4 linked regions of the Schizosaccharomyces pombe genome follow. The main gene of each other region encodes a partner of the protein of the gene in region 4 in a complex. Each region holds a gene or a part of one and is shown on either strand. Other genes may lie near its edges. The genes, in order: pmc3, med20, med14 and med1.

What was found.
Region 1: med1 (region 4) and pmc3 share a complex: the UniProt entries of both Schizosaccharomyces pombe proteins name them as parts of the mediator complex.
Region 2: med1 (region 4) and med20 share a complex: the UniProt entries of both Schizosaccharomyces pombe proteins name them as parts of the mediator complex.
Region 3: med1 (region 4) and med14 share a complex: the UniProt entries of both Schizosaccharomyces pombe proteins name them as parts of the mediator complex.

What each region holds. Positions count from the first base shown.
Region 1 is NC_003424.3:4,488,393-4,492,442, reverse strand, and holds pmc3 (mediator complex subunit Med27), read right to left. Parts: upstream 2,038-4,050; 5' UTR 1,908-2,037; coding exon 1,833-1,907; intron 1,796-1,832; coding exon 1,732-1,795; intron 1,607-1,731; coding exon 1,529-1,606; intron 1,483-1,528; coding exon 1,061-1,482; intron 1,012-1,060; coding exon 829-1,011; 3' UTR 501-828; downstream 1-500. Other genes in the region: tif471 (translation initiation factor eIF4G), read left to right, coding at 1-350; sorting and assembly machinery complex subunit Sam50, read left to right, coding at 2,151-2,255, 2,337-3,659. UniProt on the Schizosaccharomyces pombe protein: Component of the Mediator complex, a coactivator involved in the regulated transcription of nearly all RNA polymerase II-dependent genes.
Region 2 is NC_003424.3:2,348,276-2,351,758, reverse strand, and holds med20 (mediator complex subunit Med20), read right to left. Parts: upstream 1,567-3,483; 5' UTR 1,433-1,566; coding exon 1,419-1,432; intron 1,377-1,418; coding exon 1,288-1,376; intron 1,219-1,287; coding exon 740-1,218; 3' UTR 515-739; downstream 1-514. Other genes in the region: ilv3 (dihydroxy-acid dehydratase), read left to right, coding at 1-388; ARP2/3 actin-organizing complex subunit Arc5, read left to right, coding at 2,489-2,634, 2,679-2,751, 2,878-3,054, 3,145-3,207; CENP-W family protein Wip1, read right to left, coding at 3,308-3,334, 3,437-3,483. UniProt on the Schizosaccharomyces pombe protein: Component of the Mediator complex, a coactivator involved in the regulated transcription of nearly all RNA polymerase II-dependent genes.
Region 3 is NC_003423.3:1,995,455-2,001,103, reverse strand, and holds med14 (mediator complex subunit Med14), read left to right. Parts: upstream 1-2,010; 5' UTR 2,011-2,175; coding exon 2,176-4,815; 3' UTR 4,816-5,098; downstream 5,099-5,649. Other genes in the region: sdh7 (ACN9 family protein), read left to right, coding at 330-629, 745-792; V-ATPase assembly factor Pkr1, read right to left, coding at 728-938, 1,019-1,206; pus7 (pseudouridine synthase), read right to left, coding at 5,135-5,649. UniProt on the Schizosaccharomyces pombe protein: Component of the Mediator complex, a coactivator involved in the regulated transcription of nearly all RNA polymerase II-dependent genes.
Region 4 is NC_003424.3:536,227-540,573, forward strand, and holds med1 (mediator complex subunit Med1), read left to right. Parts: upstream 1-1,683; 5' UTR 1,684-2,168; coding exon 2,169-2,402; exon of another isoform or gene 2,403-2,448; coding exon 2,449-3,096; intron 3,097-3,138; coding exon 3,139-3,621; 3' UTR 3,622-3,786; downstream 3,787-4,347. Other genes in the region: DYRK family cell polarity protein kinase Pom1, read right to left, coding at 1-1,499; translation initiation factor Tif5, read right to left, coding at 3,899-4,347. UniProt on the Schizosaccharomyces pombe protein: Component of the Mediator complex, a coactivator involved in the regulated transcription of nearly all RNA polymerase II-dependent genes.

The sequences.
Region 1 (4,050 bases), 4.0 Mb from region 4:
TGAATCGTGGTGATTCTCGGATGGGCGGTCGAGGAAGCAATCCACCATTTAGCTCTAGTGATTGGTCTAATAACAAAGATGGTTATGCTAGACTTGGACAAGGTATAAGAGGTCTCAAATCTGGTACTCAGGGTTCTCACGGTCCCACAAGTTTGAGTTCAATGCTTAAAGGTGGAAGCGTTAGTAGAACGCCTTCTCGTCAAAACAGTGCCTTAAGAAGGGAACAGTCTGTTCGTGCACCACCATCTAACGTCGCGGTTACTTCTGCTAATTCTTTCGAATTACTTGAAGAGCATGACCATGATAATGATGGGGGTCAAAAAGATTCTAACTCAAAAACTAGTTCGTAAAGTAATCGGATTTGAATCTGTAATTTAAGTCTTTCATCTTTTGGTTTGTTTTGATTGTTTTGCTATGGATGAATCCATCATTTATCAGGGTTAACGGGAAATGGACTTTATAGTATAAGGTAATACATTCTCTACATTGTAATTGAGAAATGCTTTGGAAAATTTTAATTTCATTCATTGAGTTACGCATAGCCCAATTTACAGTATCTATATCACTAAAAGAGTAGTACTTTTGAATTTTTAGTATACAAAACCATGATATATTAAGGTATTTGAAGTTTGTAGAACAGGCTTGAGTAGTCCAACAAGATTTGGAAATTATAAATATCAAGGAGTCAGAAGACATTGAGTTTATTCCAACATCTGCATGTGATTGAAATGCACTTCTTTGAAAGTGATAATTGTAACTCAAGCTCAAAACGAAGCAAAAATGGCAATTATGAACGTCTTATTTCATTTGAATATCAAAATTAGTGTTTCACAAATCTGACTGAGCCGGCACGCATTCTGCATGTAACGCTAATATATCTTTAGAAGTAGGCTTCACTGTTGAGTTTGCGTTTCTTCGAACAGAAGGAAGCTCCAGGTACACAGGAGAAATGAGACTTTTACAAAAGTCACACGGCTTAGAATAAAGATGCTGATAATCAAGTATTTTAGGCTACACACGGTTAGCAGAGGTTTTGTCTAACAACCTCAAAAACACATACCATAAGAGACCATAAATTTCCAAGGAAGTTGTTGTTACGGTTAATTGAAAAAGTAATAGCATCGTCTTTGCTAGATGAACAATAAACACTAAATTTCCCCCTAGTATCATGAAAGAAAATAAACTCTAGCTCGTTTGCTAGTTTCAAAGTGAAAGACTTGTTTTCATGCGTTGTAAGAATAGACCCTGAAGCCTCAATATCACCTTTAAAAGACTCTATGTTTATATCCGAATTTTGGAAATTGTCATTATCATGCAATTCACTGTGATGCGGCTCCTTTAAGTCTAATGCAGACTTCCCATTAATGGATTTTGTTTCATTATTTTCGGTATCATTAGACAAATCTTCTGAATTGTATAAATAAGTAGGGAGCAAATTAGAGGAATCGGCTTGTAAAGACTTTTCAGCATAATCAAAAACGTCTGTTAATTAGCAAAAATTTAAGCTAAAAATAATTTGCATGCATACTTTGACTGGATTTAAGATGTGTATAAAAGGAATTTACTTTTTCAATCGCTTCTTGAGCACTTTTCTCAAATTTCCGACCTAATTAATTAGTACTCGAGCAAAATTTAAATTTAATATGAAAGATAATCATCATATCATTTTCCCTTAGTGTAAACTTTAACTCGTTTTTCTTAAAGAATTTAGTTATTTAAACAATTACTTACTTGTGCCGGTTTCAGGATGTAATAATTTTAAAAGGGATGGACAAATAGTTCTTAATTCAGCAAGCTAAAATTAATAAAATGTCTTCTGAAATTAGACAAACCTGTTCGTGAAGCTGATTTAAATCCAATAGCTTGTGCTTTAATTCATCTCTTGTACGCTGCTCTTCTAATGACATTTCTGGTAGCCTTAACAAACTTAAAATAATTATGAAAAAAAAATTAACAATGCGTATATTAAATAAATATTGATGGTAAATGGAGAGAATTCAAAAATCGGCACATCCAAATAGTAGATGGTAAGATGTCGGCTGTCATTAACGAACTTACATTCATCTAAAAACCTTTAAAAAATAATTCAACCCCAGTGCTATTGAGAAAGAAGATTGTTATTATATTCAAAATATAGGAAATTTGAAAATATGACCGAACAATTTGAGTCAACTTCTTTTCCATCTGACATTCCCGCCGTGAACGAAGAAAGCAAACTTTCAGCTGAGGAAACATTTAAGAGCCTTTCTGAAATTGTAAGTTAAGTTTTATTATCTAATTTTCGTCTCTATTTTTTTTTTAATTCACCATAATTTATACTAACCATCATCAATCAGTTGGCAGAAAATAGCACTTTGCCAGTGGGTATTTCTTCCATTCGAGTTACTGGTGCACATCATACTAGGCCAAGTTTCATTCGCAAAGTATTGAAAACATGTTTGGATACGTCGAAACCGGCCAAAAGTCGATCTTTGCTTGAAACATTAAATGCTATTCAAGAAACTACTGGGAATTTGATGGCATTCAACGTTTATGAAACTGCCAATATTAAAATAGATCGTGCTAGCTCTTCTGTTTCTGGAGATGATGATCTTGATGTTACCATTCAAGTAAAAGAGAAACCACGTTTATATGTAGAAACCGGCACTGATGTTGGTAACGTTGAAGGCAATGTACATGCTAATGTTCTTGCAAGAAATGTTTTTGGAGGAGCTGAACTTCTTTCTGGTAACGTTTCATATGGAACTCGTAATCGGTCTACCATGTCCGTGAACTTTGAGACCCCAGTAAACGCAGATCCTAAAACCCGTTTACGATTCAATGGCCACAGTAACTTGAGAGACAATAAATCTATTTCGAGCCATGACTTACTTACTAAAGGAATTACGCTTTCATTGCAGCATCAAGATCTGTGGTCTGGCGAGCATTTACTTTCACAAAACTTATTGTGGAGGCAAGTTACTCATCTCACTGAATATGCTTCTCCAAGCGTACGACTTGAGGCCGGTGATTCATTAAAACAATCTCTTTCCTATACGTATACACGCGATACACGCGATCATCTTATGATACCCACGAAGGGAGATTATGTGAGGCAGACTTTAGAGCTCGCTGGGTTCGGATTTCTTCCAGGAGATGCGAGCTTTCTAAAATCAGAATTCTGGGGTCAAAAAGCTGTGGCTTTAAATTCTTCTAGGTCTGTTTCTCTTTCTTTGTCCGCCCGGATTGGAGCATTGCATAGTCTAAATAAGAAGCAAGTCAGTCTGTGTGATCGTTTCATGTTAGGCGGTTCAACTAGCCTTCGTGGTTTTTCAGAAGACCGTATAGGTCCAAAAGATGGCAGGGATTCTTTAGGCGGGACCGCATATATGGCTTTCTCCATGAGCTTGCTATTCCCTTTGCCAAAAGTTGATGCTTCTAAACCATTTCGCTTACAGTTGTTTGCGAATGCTGGAGGGCTATCGAATTTGACTTCTCCAAATCCATGTGGCACATACAAATCAATACTTTCTAAGCCTTGTATCTCTACAGGCTTAGGTTTAGTCTATGCAACTCCCGCTGCGCGTTTCGAGCTGAACTTTACCTTACCAATCGCTACTACCGAAAAGGATATCGGTCGTAAAGGCCTGCAATTCGGCGCGGGTATCGATTTCATGTAATGATTTTCCTTTTTAACTTTTTACTTTAATAAGGTCTCTACTATTCCCATCTCTGACTTGTCTGTCTTTTTCTCTCATTTATGCTAATGATAAGAATGTTACGGTTGACAATTGCTTTTACTGCGTTTGAATTAAATTTTCATGCATATTTATAATTGTCATACAAATATTTTGCTTTTGGTCAAGATTTATGAATTTCACAGAATTTCAATAACCATATATGAATAAATTTAAACGAAGATAGTTACATAACATCAGAGTATCTTTTGTATTTTTATTATTAAAAGAAGATTAATAATTGCAATTAGTCGAAAAATAAACTACGACTTTAAAATGAGATAGAAGAGCCTTTAATCCTTCTTTGAAGGTCTTGCTAGCTAGAAAAAGCGCA
Region 2 (3,483 bases), 1.8 Mb from region 4:
CATTATTCGTTTTGAGGGACCAAAAGGTGGACCTGGTATGCCGGAAATGTTAAAGCCTTCAAGTGCTATTATGGGAGCTGGTCTTGGAAAGGATGTTGCACTTTTGACTGACGGTCGTTTCAGTGGTGGCTCTCACGGATTTTTGATTGGACACGTTGATCCCGAAGCACAAGTTGGAGGCCCTATTGCTCTTGTTCAGGACGGCGATGTCATTGAAATCAATGCTGTAAAGAACACTTTAGATTTGATGGTTGATGAGAAGGAGATGGCGAGACGCCGCAGTGTTTGGAAGGCACCTCCTTTGAAGTACCAACAAGGAACCCTTTTAAAATATGCTCGCAACGTTAGCACTGCCTCCAAGGGTGCTGTTACAGATTCCTTAGAGTAAAGCATATTCAATGCTTTTATAAGCGCGCATAGTATTTTGGAAACTTAGACGTTTAATGTTTTGGTAGTAAAGGTTGATTAATAAGCTTTTAATGCTGATTCCATAATCTCATCTAGAGTTTATTTGAATAATTTTGAATGAATAATTACTTTTTGGAGTACAGTGAAATGCATCGAGTTTAAAATGGGTTGTTATTCAAACTCCTGCATTTCTATTTTATTATTAAACATAATTGGTATCTGTAAATGTGAAAGGGAGCCATAACTTTCTGCTGACAATAAAGCAAGACTTTGACAGTTAGTTAGATAGAAATTTATTTACAGAAAAAATTTAAATTGATACTTTTTTATTCTATGTGCGTTGTGAAACGGTATCAATGCGTTGTTTAAACAACTGTAGTAGAAGTTTTGAATCCAAAGAATGACGAGGCTGGTTAAAGAAGCTTTCATAGACAGGGGTTACCGATTTATTATTTTGTAAAAAGCATTTAAGAAAGAATTCTTGAATAATAGGGCGTGCGAGATCGACGGACTCAGTACCATCGTAAGTTACATGAAAAAGTATACCCTTCCAAACGGACTTTTGTAAAACGTTGGCAATAGCCACTTTAAAGCTCCCTACTTCATATATTGAACCTTCAATAGTAAAGGACTGCCGAAAATTCCATAATTTCGTTCGCACAATGATGTCCTCAAGTTCAGGTTCTGCATCAATCATTGTCGCTTCATCCACACACGCCAGCATGCTGGGATTAATGTTTTGCTTCAAAAATTCTAAAGTTTTTGGAGTGACAGCATTTCTGTAAAGTTTATACTGAACTACCCATTTTTCTGAAATTCAAAGTTAGATCTTGAAATCATCAATCATAAGAAATAAAATCCAAACCAGTGTCAGCTTACTTAAATGTTGTGCAAAGTAGGTCCTAACCAGATTATCCTGTGCTGGAGAAAGGAACGTCGCCATTGAAGGCGATGAATAATAAATAACTCTATAATCAATCAGCAAAATAGTCAATCGGTATGCTTTTTACCCGTGAACAGGCATATTTTATAACAAAGATGAATGGTAATTAATTATGCATCTGAATATCGGTTTATACCGAATTATTGAGAAAAATGGCCGAATTAGTTCTTTTACTTCTACTGTAATGTTGATGTGAAGAGTTTAATGCGTACGGCGGTTGCAAGAATTGCTAACAGGCTAATTTAAAACCTTCATTTTCATTGTTCCTGTATTAAAAAAAAAAAGCAGATAGACATAATATGAGCTCAAATTTTATTAATTTATCTCTTGTCATTTTTATTATTTTCCAAGTCGCAAAGTATATGGCTTTTGGGTATGATAATCCCAGAGCAAATTGTTAAAAGCTTGAAGAGAATTAAGTTAACTGAATTACATTCATAATTAACTTCTGGAGAGTCAAATACTACGTAACAATGTAACTGGCTGGTTTGAGCACTAATTAAAAATCTGTTAATCCCAGGATGTTACATATGTGTCTCTTCGTTTTACTTTGAACTTTACACAAGAAACTACATAGTTCTGTCAGCAAAATAAGTCTTAAAAGTTATTGTTCGAATAGAAGTATAAACTCATACATCAATATACATACTGAAAATAGATAGAAGCAAAAAAAAAATTACTTTTAATCTTTATTCAACTAATTACTAGGCTGTATCTAACATATTTTCTTCTGAATCACCATAGGCAGAAATGTAAAATATGTAACCAATTTCTGTCTACAAGTTATTCAGAACTTTACATCTAAGACCAAAGGTAGAGATGATTATTTACAAATAAAAAAAAATAAACATCCACAAAAGAGGTCTATGGAGTACTGAAGAAGTTAGTAATGCTGTTACCAGACTTATATAGCTCCGCTCAAAAATTATAAGTTAAAGTTATAAGATTAAAAAAATATAAATATATTTTTTTGAATTTTCTTAACTTATTGGTTAAATTAATATACTCTATGAATTATAATAACTTCAGTTACAGACTTGCGTTCGACCGTTGTATGATGCCTCTTTAGAGCTACACACAGCTGAAACTTAACCTGTTCCATCGTTTTCTTTACCTTACCAGTTATAGAGTTATAAAATGACGTTTCGGACTTTGGATGTCGACTCCATCACAGAACCTGTTTTAACAGAGCAAGATATATTTCCAATTCGTAACGAAACGGCGGAGCAAGTCCAAGCAGCCGTCTCTCAACTCATTCCTCAAGCCCGGTCTGCCATTCAAACGTATGTTTATTTAAAAGAAGCAATTTTTTTATTAATTAAAATAGAGGAAATGCCTTACAAGGTTTGAAAACCTTACTCTCATATGTTCCTTATGGAAATGATGTTCAAGAAGTTAGGGTATGTGCAAACTGTACAAACTGCTTAAAGACGGTTTATATCAATTACGTTTTTATTTATTGATTAAATTTACAATTCTTCTTGATTTCATTTTATTATGGTGTAAATGAATTTTAACTTTTTTAGACTCAATATTTGAATGCTTTTGTTGATGTATTAAGCAATATACGAGCTGCTGACATTCCCGCATTTGTAAAAGAATGTTCAACGGAGGAAATTGATAATATTGTAAACTTCATTTATCGTGGATTGGCGAATCCTCAAGCCTACAACTCGTCTGTATTACTTAATTGGCACGAAAAGGTAACTTTTAGTTTATTGCTTTTCCCAACGCTCTAGCATTGCTTATCTCATGCTTTACATTTTTATTCGGTCACTAATACGGTTTTGTAGGTGGTGGAAATATCCGGTATAGGATGTATAGTTCGTGTTCTCAATAGTAGACCCGATCTATAAATATGGCTTTATCTTACTTTTTGGTATCTACTATTCTGTCGCTTATGGAACTGAATCAATGATTCTGTTTTATGTCTTCTTTCCCACATAATGACTCTTTTTATCCTTTAAATTGAGCTAGAATTTTCTAAATGGTTAGTAAGTATGTTCCATTTTAAAAAATAAAGTGCAATCGATTTACGCCTTTGCTGAAAAGATAATAAATCTAGTTTATTCAATATTAGCTTACTCTTTGAATACTTCGAACATGTTCTGGCTGTACTCTTCTTTCCCCAG
Region 3 (5,649 bases), on a different chromosome or scaffold from region 4:
AATCTTAAAATAAATGAATTCAAGCAACTACAAATAATCGATACCAAATCGACAAGTCCTTTCTACGTAGTCCGATAACACAAAGTAATGTTTTCAAAAGAAAAAGGAATTAAAAATTGAAGATTTCAAGACAAATGATTGAAGGAACACTCACTTTTCCTACTAGTATATCTTCTGGTGGTATTGTTTACATTTGGTAGAAGAAGACCTTGCAATTGTTAGTGTGAATGCGATGAATAGCAAACTGCCTTCCACATCACAACCACAACAAGAAACTTAAAAGGAATTCAATTTTTGAAAAGACGGTATCTAAAGAAAATCATATACCAATGAATAACATAACGAAATTAATGAAACAAAAGAATATTTTGACACCTCCTTTGCCTCTGTACCGAAGGGTGTTGAGAGCGCATCGCTATCACCTAGGAGCAGAAGAACGAGCTTTAGGAGATGAATATGTAAAGGCGGAATTTCGAAGACATCGGAACGTAACAAATCCTTTGCATTTAGTAGGATTTTTAAGCTCGTGGGAGAGGTATGCGGATGCACTAGAAAACGAGAGCTGGAAACAGGAAAAATACAGTAATACGGATCTACTAGAATCTTTAAATGACCAGCAAATCGGACAGGTAAGAAAACTTATATTAGATTGAGGTTTATTATTAAAAGAAGAGAACTTTTACCAGTGCTCTTGAACTTATTGCTTCTTTTTTTGGACCTATAGTTTCTAACTATTATTGGCAGTTGTACGAGCTCTCAAAAGCTCTTCAGGAACAGAAAAAGTCTGAGTAGTGGTCGCGGAATCTGATTCTTTATCAGACATCTCTTTGTTATTAGAAGGATTTTGATTGTTTGAGTTGTCGTCATTTTTATTGGCACTTTGAGACGACATCTGCAAATCGTTATTAACTCGAGCATGTGCAAGCTCAACCAAAAACCTATAAAGTTGTTAATGAATGATCTGGACTACTCGTAAAAAAGTGAACGAGATGTTCAACTTCCTCATGGATAAACGTACCATGTTAGCGACAGCCACAAACAGATTGCCAGGAAAAATAAGATGAGACAATGAATACTTTTTGTACCTATATAAAGTCCAAGAAAAACAGCGACAAGTGCACCACAGGCTACGTGTGCTGACTTAGCCAATACAGGTGTGACACCTGGTGTGAAAATTGATTCCCATAGTTCCACCCAATACGACATGATCTTTTTCTTATTGGAATACTACTTGGAAATGTAGTAGCTATGAATTGACGTTGTTAAACCACCGTTTGTGTTCTAGCGATAAAATCTGGCCTTTATAGTGTGCGTGTGCTATTGAATTAATTTAGCAACGAGACCGATGTTGGAGTTCATTAAAAGTTAAAATGGATTTCAAGAAATCCATATCTTATACTACTATTAAAACCGAAGGTTATGCTTCCATTTGTCCAAATTTATTGTTAATAGAGCTTTGAATCATTCAAATGGAATAGTGCTCTACTTTTGTTTTGCTATATTAAAAATTTTTTGTCAGCTTCTTGTGGTCGTGGAGAAAATAATTAAATGATCAAAACAAATGTTATTTTTCGGCTTAGCTCTTCTAAATTACTGTTTTATTATCATTTTAATGAGACACGCTGAAGCTCTGATTAAAATTGATAGCAAAGTTTGAACAGCTTTAATGATGATTTTCGTTCAGTTTAAAGAAGGGGCTTTTTAACTACTATAGAATTACGAGAATCTTTTTGAACGGTTCCATCTCATTTGTTATTCTTCATTATCCATAGTTTCAAACTATGTTTTATGCGATTATCGCATAACAGGGCATGTTTATACTAGCTCAAATTTATTCAAAATCTCCCATTTTAGTAATATCATTGATCAATTATTATTTAATTCCATTTAAAATTGCTTATTTATTGATTATTCCAATTTTTTGAATGAATAAACCTAAGGCGTTTTAACAATCTCAGTGAATGGCGTAACGAAGGTTATCGAAGAGTTTCACGGGAGCTGTGTGAAGTTGCTTTTGGCACGCTACTCGAAGATTTCTGTAAAAGAGATATAAAGAATCCTTTTTAAGGGTTTTTAAAAGAACAAAACTTATGTTTATTACGAAATTTAGTTTTGGTAAAGGATCGGCTAATTAAAGGCGCTATTACACGAAATTCCTAACTCCTCCAATTGAGGATGGAACCGCCTGCGATTCCACACATTACAGAAGGATTTTATCCTCTTCCTGAGATAGTAGAAACTTTTAGTCATCATGTGTTACAAGAATTGGTGTCTTTAGCCGAAGTTCTACCCTCTATGTCAAATGTCGAGAAAAAGAAAAAGATCTTAGATTGGTTATTACGTTCGCGCGCTTTCACTATGCGTTTGCTAGTTTTAGCGCGTTGGGTACATCTATCTCCTTCAGTTCATCGATGCATAGATGTTGTAGCCTTTCTTCAAGGTCAAAAATTTTGCTTCCAGAATTTAGTTCATGTGTTACAAGATATTCGTTACCAGTTGTCATTTGCACGTCTACGCAACTCAGATTTAGTTACTGCATTAGATATTTTGTCAACTGGCACGAGTCTTCGTCTAGCAAATGCTCCCACTTCAAAATTATACATGCTATCTGAATCACCGCTAAGTACCAAACAAATACTTCAAACCCTTCATGCTCTTAACATGCTTATTAGAATTCGTCTTAGTCTTTATGAAATTATTCCGACACCATTTCAACATTTCACAATTGCTAATGGTCGTTGCACATTTACTGTTCCCAATGAGTTTTCAGTGTCTTTGACAACCAATTCCCAAGATCCTAAATCTACCGGTATTTCATTCCAGTGGATTGTTGTTGACTTTCAATTTCATCTTCCTGATTTTTCTTCTACTCCCGCAAAATATCGGGTTTTTATAGAATTGCATCTCAATGAAGAAATCGCTGCTGCATTCGTTCTACAAAAGCCCATCCTACCTTTAATATATAATATCCTTCATAAATTTTGTTTATATCAGCGCCTTAATTTATTGTCACAACAAACTTTTCAACTATCCAGAGAAAGTTGGTTAGGGCATTTGCGCGGTGTCTATGATGAAAAGCCCCCACGGCTACGTCTATACTATTGGCCCCAATTAAATGTGAAAAAAGAAGGAAAACCCGGAAAAATTGGTCATTATATTCATATATTTGTAAATACTCAACCCATATCCGCCTTTGAGCGTACCCTTAGCTCTAAGAGATCCAGTTGTGAATATGATCATTTTTTATTACTCGTTGAATGGCACCATGATGGCATTGTTGAACATGTACCATTAGATGATCATATGGATGCTCAGCATCTACTATTATTAATTACCCAAAAACACGCTCAACTTATTCTGGAACAAATCCGTAAGGAGCTTCACCCAAATATATTTAGTGAACATGTTGGTGGTGGTCTAAAAATTCATGTCTTTGATAATGAAATAATTGTCAAGGTGAACAGCGTTACCGGCAGGCTCGTGCTGTCGAGTTCGGCTTCACCTTTATCACCTCCCAGGCATCTTCGTGCTGCTGAAAAAAATATTGCTTTGAATACGCAACCTCCCGCCCAAATCTTGAATCGGTTGTATTTCTTTTGTATACAAACGCAGCTATTAGAAGTTGCCCAGTGTGCTGAGTTGCATGCAGTTCAAGGTTACTATTCTTTCCCTTATCTTACATTCTCCAAAGGTAAATGGAGAAAAGATGGCGATTCCCTATGGGTACTCGCGTACAACGTTGAATCCAACTCTTGGTCTGTTAGATTGTTGAACGCTGCGGGTCAAACTCTCTACACCCAAGATGTTCATACTACAAAAGGTACTTTAAGTATTGAAAGTTTTAGCCGTCTTTCGTACCTATTGGAAGTCCAAATACTTTTATTCAATGTTCAAACTGCTTGCCAAGCTCGTGGTATGCCTTTTGAATATTTGCCTATTCCACCAAAAGCCCTAATTGAAGATGACTTTACTACATACGTCCAAACAGGATGCTTATGTATTATGATGCCATCGTCTAATGAAGATATGCTTCCTGTGGTTTTCGTTCGCGCGCATGACGGGCAGTTAATTTTTGACTCCCGAATAAAAGGAAAATTGCCGTATCAGTCTGAGACTGAAACTGAAAAGAACTGCTACATAGATTGGAGAACCGGTCGTATTACCATTCGTGTGCAAAATTTTTCATCTTTCGAAAAAACATGGATTGGATTACTTAAACTTGTTGCTTTGTCTAAAACATCTGCATTCAATGTAGATTGTATCACGTTAAAGCATGTGGACTTTACATATCTCGATGATGAGAAATTTAGGGCTACAATTCATGACGACAACACTTTTACCCTTCATTTTTTTAATCGACATAGTCCGTTTCATCTAATTTCTCAGTTTTTGCAGGATACATTTTCTGATGGGCCCTCAGCTATTCAACCATTACGCGTAATTATGGATAGAACGAGAGGTGTTTTAGTAGCTCAAGAATTGGGCTACGTTGTTTTGGCTCGATCTCTGCGTCAGTACAGAATTATCCTATCCAAAAATCATGGCATTCAAGTTCTTTTAAATCGCCATGGATGTATACTCCAAGATTTATCCTACTTATCTGCCGATTCCCGATACTTGGAAGGAACTCAGACTTTGACGTCTCAATGGGAACCTTGTTCATGGCTTAATACTGTTTGGGAAGGTGACTTGGGTGATGATGAGCTTAATGGTCAGATTGAGGCCGCTCCCGAGATGCACTTAATAAAGATGAACAAAACGGCTGATTTAACAGCCATTCTAAAAAGAATTTTAGCGATCTCTCGAAAAAAATGAACTCATATTAAGCTTTTAATCCTCACCCCCTCCACCGTCCATTCCTTTCGGTGGCAGTGATTAGTGATTGTATATATAAATACGGCAAAAAATGTCTGGTTAATGAGGTAAATGAAAATCGTTTTCTAAAGTATACAAGTGAATGTTACATTGATGATACATGTGATTTATATAATCCAACGTGTAAATTAGAGATCGTCGAATTAACGCTTAATCATTTATGAATAAGCAAAAAACTTCCGTAGGTAAAATGAATTTCTATTATAATCGCCATAATCCCAAGTTTATTCAAAGCTGTGTTCTTTTAAGCTAATAAATTTTATATTGAATCTTTAAGTACCGCTGGCATCAACATACGTTGATCACCACTAGCAGTTGCAGTTCTTAAAGCTTCTCGTAAAGCCATAGTAGCGTAAGCAGAAGATGGAAGTACAAATTTTAACGTAACAGCGGTGTGCTTACCAACCTCAGAACTCACTGAAATAGAACGGTTCTCCAATCTATCCTTATCCGTCAAAATCAGTTGTTGTTCCATATTGTCATACTTTATGAAATTAAACTCCATATTTTCAGGACGCACCAAAAGTTTTCGATAATCACCAGGTAATGAAAGTTCTCTGTCTTTGCGAGACATATTTAATGGATCAAGTGATGCCTCATTCATGACAGACTTGTATATATCGAAAGTTTCATTTTTTGGGTATATTACATTACGACCAGGTAAAGGAAGTACTATGTCGTAAATACTAAAGTTATTGACTTCGTCCTCTTCAATCGGACGAGCTGATAATTTTGAGCTCACAGGTAAATCTTCTAGAAGATCAGGTGCCTCTG
Region 4 (4,347 bases):
GATGGTTTGAACCAGTTAATAAATTGCTGCATCCGGCTTTTCGTTCTCGTAGGAGTTTTCTTTCCATTCCGGTAGCTAGATTTGGTAGAAGAATCAGCTATGTAAGCATGTGGTATTGCCGGTACGTCAGGGGCATCCTCGTGTTTAGCTTTACTTCCTTTCTTCATACGAGAAGAACTTCTCGAAAAACTCAATCTGCTAAAAAAGCCACCTCTTGAAGATCTACCTTCTTTGTTGGAAGATTTCTGTGATTTAGACTCATTTTGGACAGTATTCCCATGTTTAGCTTCATGGTTACGATGCCCATCAACGTTTGTCTTCTGAGAAACCGCTTTAGGAGCAGCTTTCGGATCAGGATTTCTACTGTCGGGATGAACTTGAGATGATGTAGTAGTATTATTGTGATTATCGGATGAAACAGGTTTGTTGTTATCGAAGACAGAGGGGGTAGCAAAAGAGTGTGATTTGGTTTGTGATCCTACATGTGAGTGATTATTTTTAACATTAGAAAGGGTTATTTGACTATGGGGGGAAAGTTCTTTGAAAAAAGAATTGGATGTCTTCAAAGGGGATTGGATTGTAGAAAGATTCTTCGATTCTGAACTTGATTTCGTAAGGGATCCAGATATATTTGCTTTAGGATGTTGGTGATCAGTGGAATGACCTATATTAGGAGGAATAGTTGGAACAGGAGGAATTCCAGACTTATTTCCAATAGAAGCTGCTCTGGGATGTGAAGTAGAATGGAAGTTAGTATGACGCCAACTACCGGATCTCTTTGGAGCCATTGAAGCATGGTATGCATGGTTCCCCGAGGAAAAAACGCTAGATTGTAAAGGAACGGATGATACATCTTGTGTAATAGATATAACCCCACTCAAATGCCCCCCATTATTTTGCTGATTCCAATCACTAGGCTTTGATGAACGATTATAATATGATAAGGAAGTTCCAAAACTCTTAGAGTTCGATATTGAAGATGTCCTATGATGTGAAGAAGTATTCAACGACGAAGGATTGTTCTGCTGAGATGACTCGAAATCGATTGGGTTATTACCAATACTTATGTTTGACAAACGGTGTATGGAATTCCTCGGACTGTTTTTCTGTCTATAATCGTGATCAAAACTACTTCGGAGTAAACCATTGCCAGTCGAGTGGTGTATAGTAATAGCATGATTATCCATAGATGAACCAACTCCCTTTGGTTCAACATTCATAAATAACTCATCTTTATGCTCTTGTTCCGGAAAAGAAATGTTCGTATTTGAGGCATTCGTCGAAGGACTCGTATCTGCTGCTGTACTGCTAGAACTCTGGCGGTTTGGACAAATATCGTTGGAATAACTACCAACGGCAGAAAGTTCAGATGGGTTTAATAGTTCAGATTTTATTCCGAACATGTTTGCGCTTTTCCGGTTTGATGTATGAAGTTTAAATAATGCATCCGTATTTTCGTCGCCCAGAGAAACCGCTTTTTGGGACTGCAAATAGCCCATTTGCAAACTTTGCTTCAAAAAGCCAAAATTCTCACTATATTACGCTTTTACTGGCTTTTTTGAAACAAAATATTGTTTCTATAAGCTCCCTCCTTCAGTTACAGTCTCTTATCTTCTTTAAAATGCAAACTAGTAGCAGTACGTTCGTGGCTAATTAAAGCCGCGCTACACCCTGCATATCAATACCAACCACTTCTGAAAGGGCACGCAAGCTGTAAATGAAACATAGAACGCTTATTGATTTGTGCACAAATTTTACCAAAAAGAAAATATTTTATTAAGATTTACTGCATATATATTTTGATGCTTTAAAAAGAGTTTGAGTGAACATACTTTGGGTTTTTTTTAGTCCAAGGTTTAAAATTGGTTTTCATTTGTATACATATAAAATTCCCCATAACTACTGTTTTAACCCTCGTTATAAAGATAAATCAATCACACAGACCTTCCCATTGAAACTAAGTTTTAGGCGGTTCAAAATTACCTACTTGTTTTTGCAATTAATGCGTTTCTAGCAAATAGTTTGATGGCAGTAAAGGCTTCCTTTTTGCAGAACAAATTAAATTGCTCGCTGAACAGACATAAAATTGCGCTTATATACAGTGTTTTAAGCTGATTAAATACGAAATACACGACTAATTTACTAAATCTTCTTTAATAATCTTTTCGATGGATAGACCACATCTCTTTTCTGAAGTTCATTTCCGTCGAAACGCCTCTAACCCCAATCAGATTAACTGGACGCGTTATTGGATTGATTGTCTATCATCAGTTCCTTGGAATGATATCTCTGTAACTGGATTTGAATATTTGGCTAAAAAGTATGGTCTGGAGGTTTTTCAAGACTCCTCCAAACCCAATGAAGTGGTCCTCAGTTTAGCTGGAAAAATAATTTTGATCGACGTAAGTTTAAATCCTGTACATAACCGTTTTACTAATTAGTATCTAGATCACTGTTCCCATAAATGCGTCTCCAAAAGATATCAACGTTGTTTTGGCTTTTGCAAACGCTAGTGGTGAGCAATATAATAATCCTGTTGCAGAAAAATTACTTAAGGATGCAATTTACAATTGCAATACCCCACTATTTGAAAAGAATGTCAAATGGTTGGCTACCTTTGATCACTCCTCTCCTTCGGTCCAACAAAGTTGTTTCCAATATTTAGACTCACTATCCTCTTCTTTAAATGCTATTTATGAAGCAGAATTATCTTTGCTAGCACAAGAAGAAAATGTTATAATGCATGGAAACGGAAAGCCTCTCAGTAATTACGAAGGACAACTTGGTTTGCGTATTGTATACTGGAAGCTTTTGGATAAAACCTATAGCACTCAAATTTTTATGGATAATTTGTCTCATGAGTCGCTACCTCACTTGTTATTCGGATATAATTTATTAAATTCTCCTCCTATCCTCCAATCATCAAAAATTAATTGGGCACTTGAAAATACTTTGACACCTATTCCTACAACAATGGAACTAGTTTTTGATGATATCAATTTAATAATACCAGAGCAGGGCGTCAAACCTTTACTTGATTTGCTTCATGTCCATGACATTACCATTCCTTGGCCTGTCCAAAATTATAGTCATATGGTAAGTACTTTCCCTAAATATCAACTTAACTAATTTCACCAGCTTGGTTTACCTTCAAAATCAACCGTGAACTACAAATTCATTAATAAAAATCAAGCCATCCAGCTAACAGGGTTCGATGTTTCCGCACGTTCTTTGCGTCACGTACCGTTTCATCATCCCAAGCAAATTCGAGGAATACTTGCTATTGTACGCCAATATTTATTATTACAATTGATTTTGGAAAATATCAAATCAGCAGATTTAGCAGAGACTGCGGCATCTTCCTCCCTTCACCTCTCTCTATATTTTAAGGAGCATCCGATCGTTCATGCCCAATATCAAGAAATCAACAAACTGAATAATTCCGAACAAATTATCATTGTTCTATCCGTATTGTCAGATGGAAGACTGAATGTTGATTATATGTCTAGTGGTGGCAAAGAATTGTCAAAACAACAGTCTCATGTTTTTCAAAAACTTATACAACAAACATGTAACATCGGACTTGCGATAGAAGTGTTTATAAAGAAAGTCGTTAATTAGAATTTCATGCTAGAAAAAGACATTACTAATCAGTTTTAAAAATCTTTAGTAAAATGAAATTATGGAATTAGTTGGATGTTTTGAATAGTATAAATTGAACACTTTAAAAGGCTAGCCTATTTTACAAAAATCAGAACACTTTAATAGATATATTCAACTTACGAGAAACTAATTTGCTAAAACTTGAAAGAATCAGCTTAATATTTTAGAGAACAGGATTGTAAGTTATTCAATTCTCAAAGCACAAATTGTGGTAGAGAGTAAAAAGAGGCCGTTCTTATTCGTCGTCGTCTTCTTCTTCTTCCTCCTCATCTTCACTCTCAGATTCGTCACTTGCTTCAGCCAACCATGTCAAAAAAGGTTCAGCAGCTTCATGAATCTTCTTACTAGTTTCACGGCTCACATATTTCTTGCTAGCCTTTGCTCCCCATTTCTCAAACATGTCATCAGAGACCAAGTCATTCTGATAAATCTCCAAGAGTACCTTGGGAACAACGTCGATGTGCACTAATTCAGTGTTTTCCATCAAACGTTCAAACCCACCAAGAAGAGCACGTTCATGTTTATCTGTCGTGCAAAGCTTTTTAAACAATGCACCATGCTTTTCAAACTCCCCAACGTAAGGCGAAGTAATAATACATTGAACTAGTACAACAATAGCTTTACTTTTATGATGAATATTCTCTTCCTTCATCTTTTTGTAAATTTCAACATCAGAAACACCAG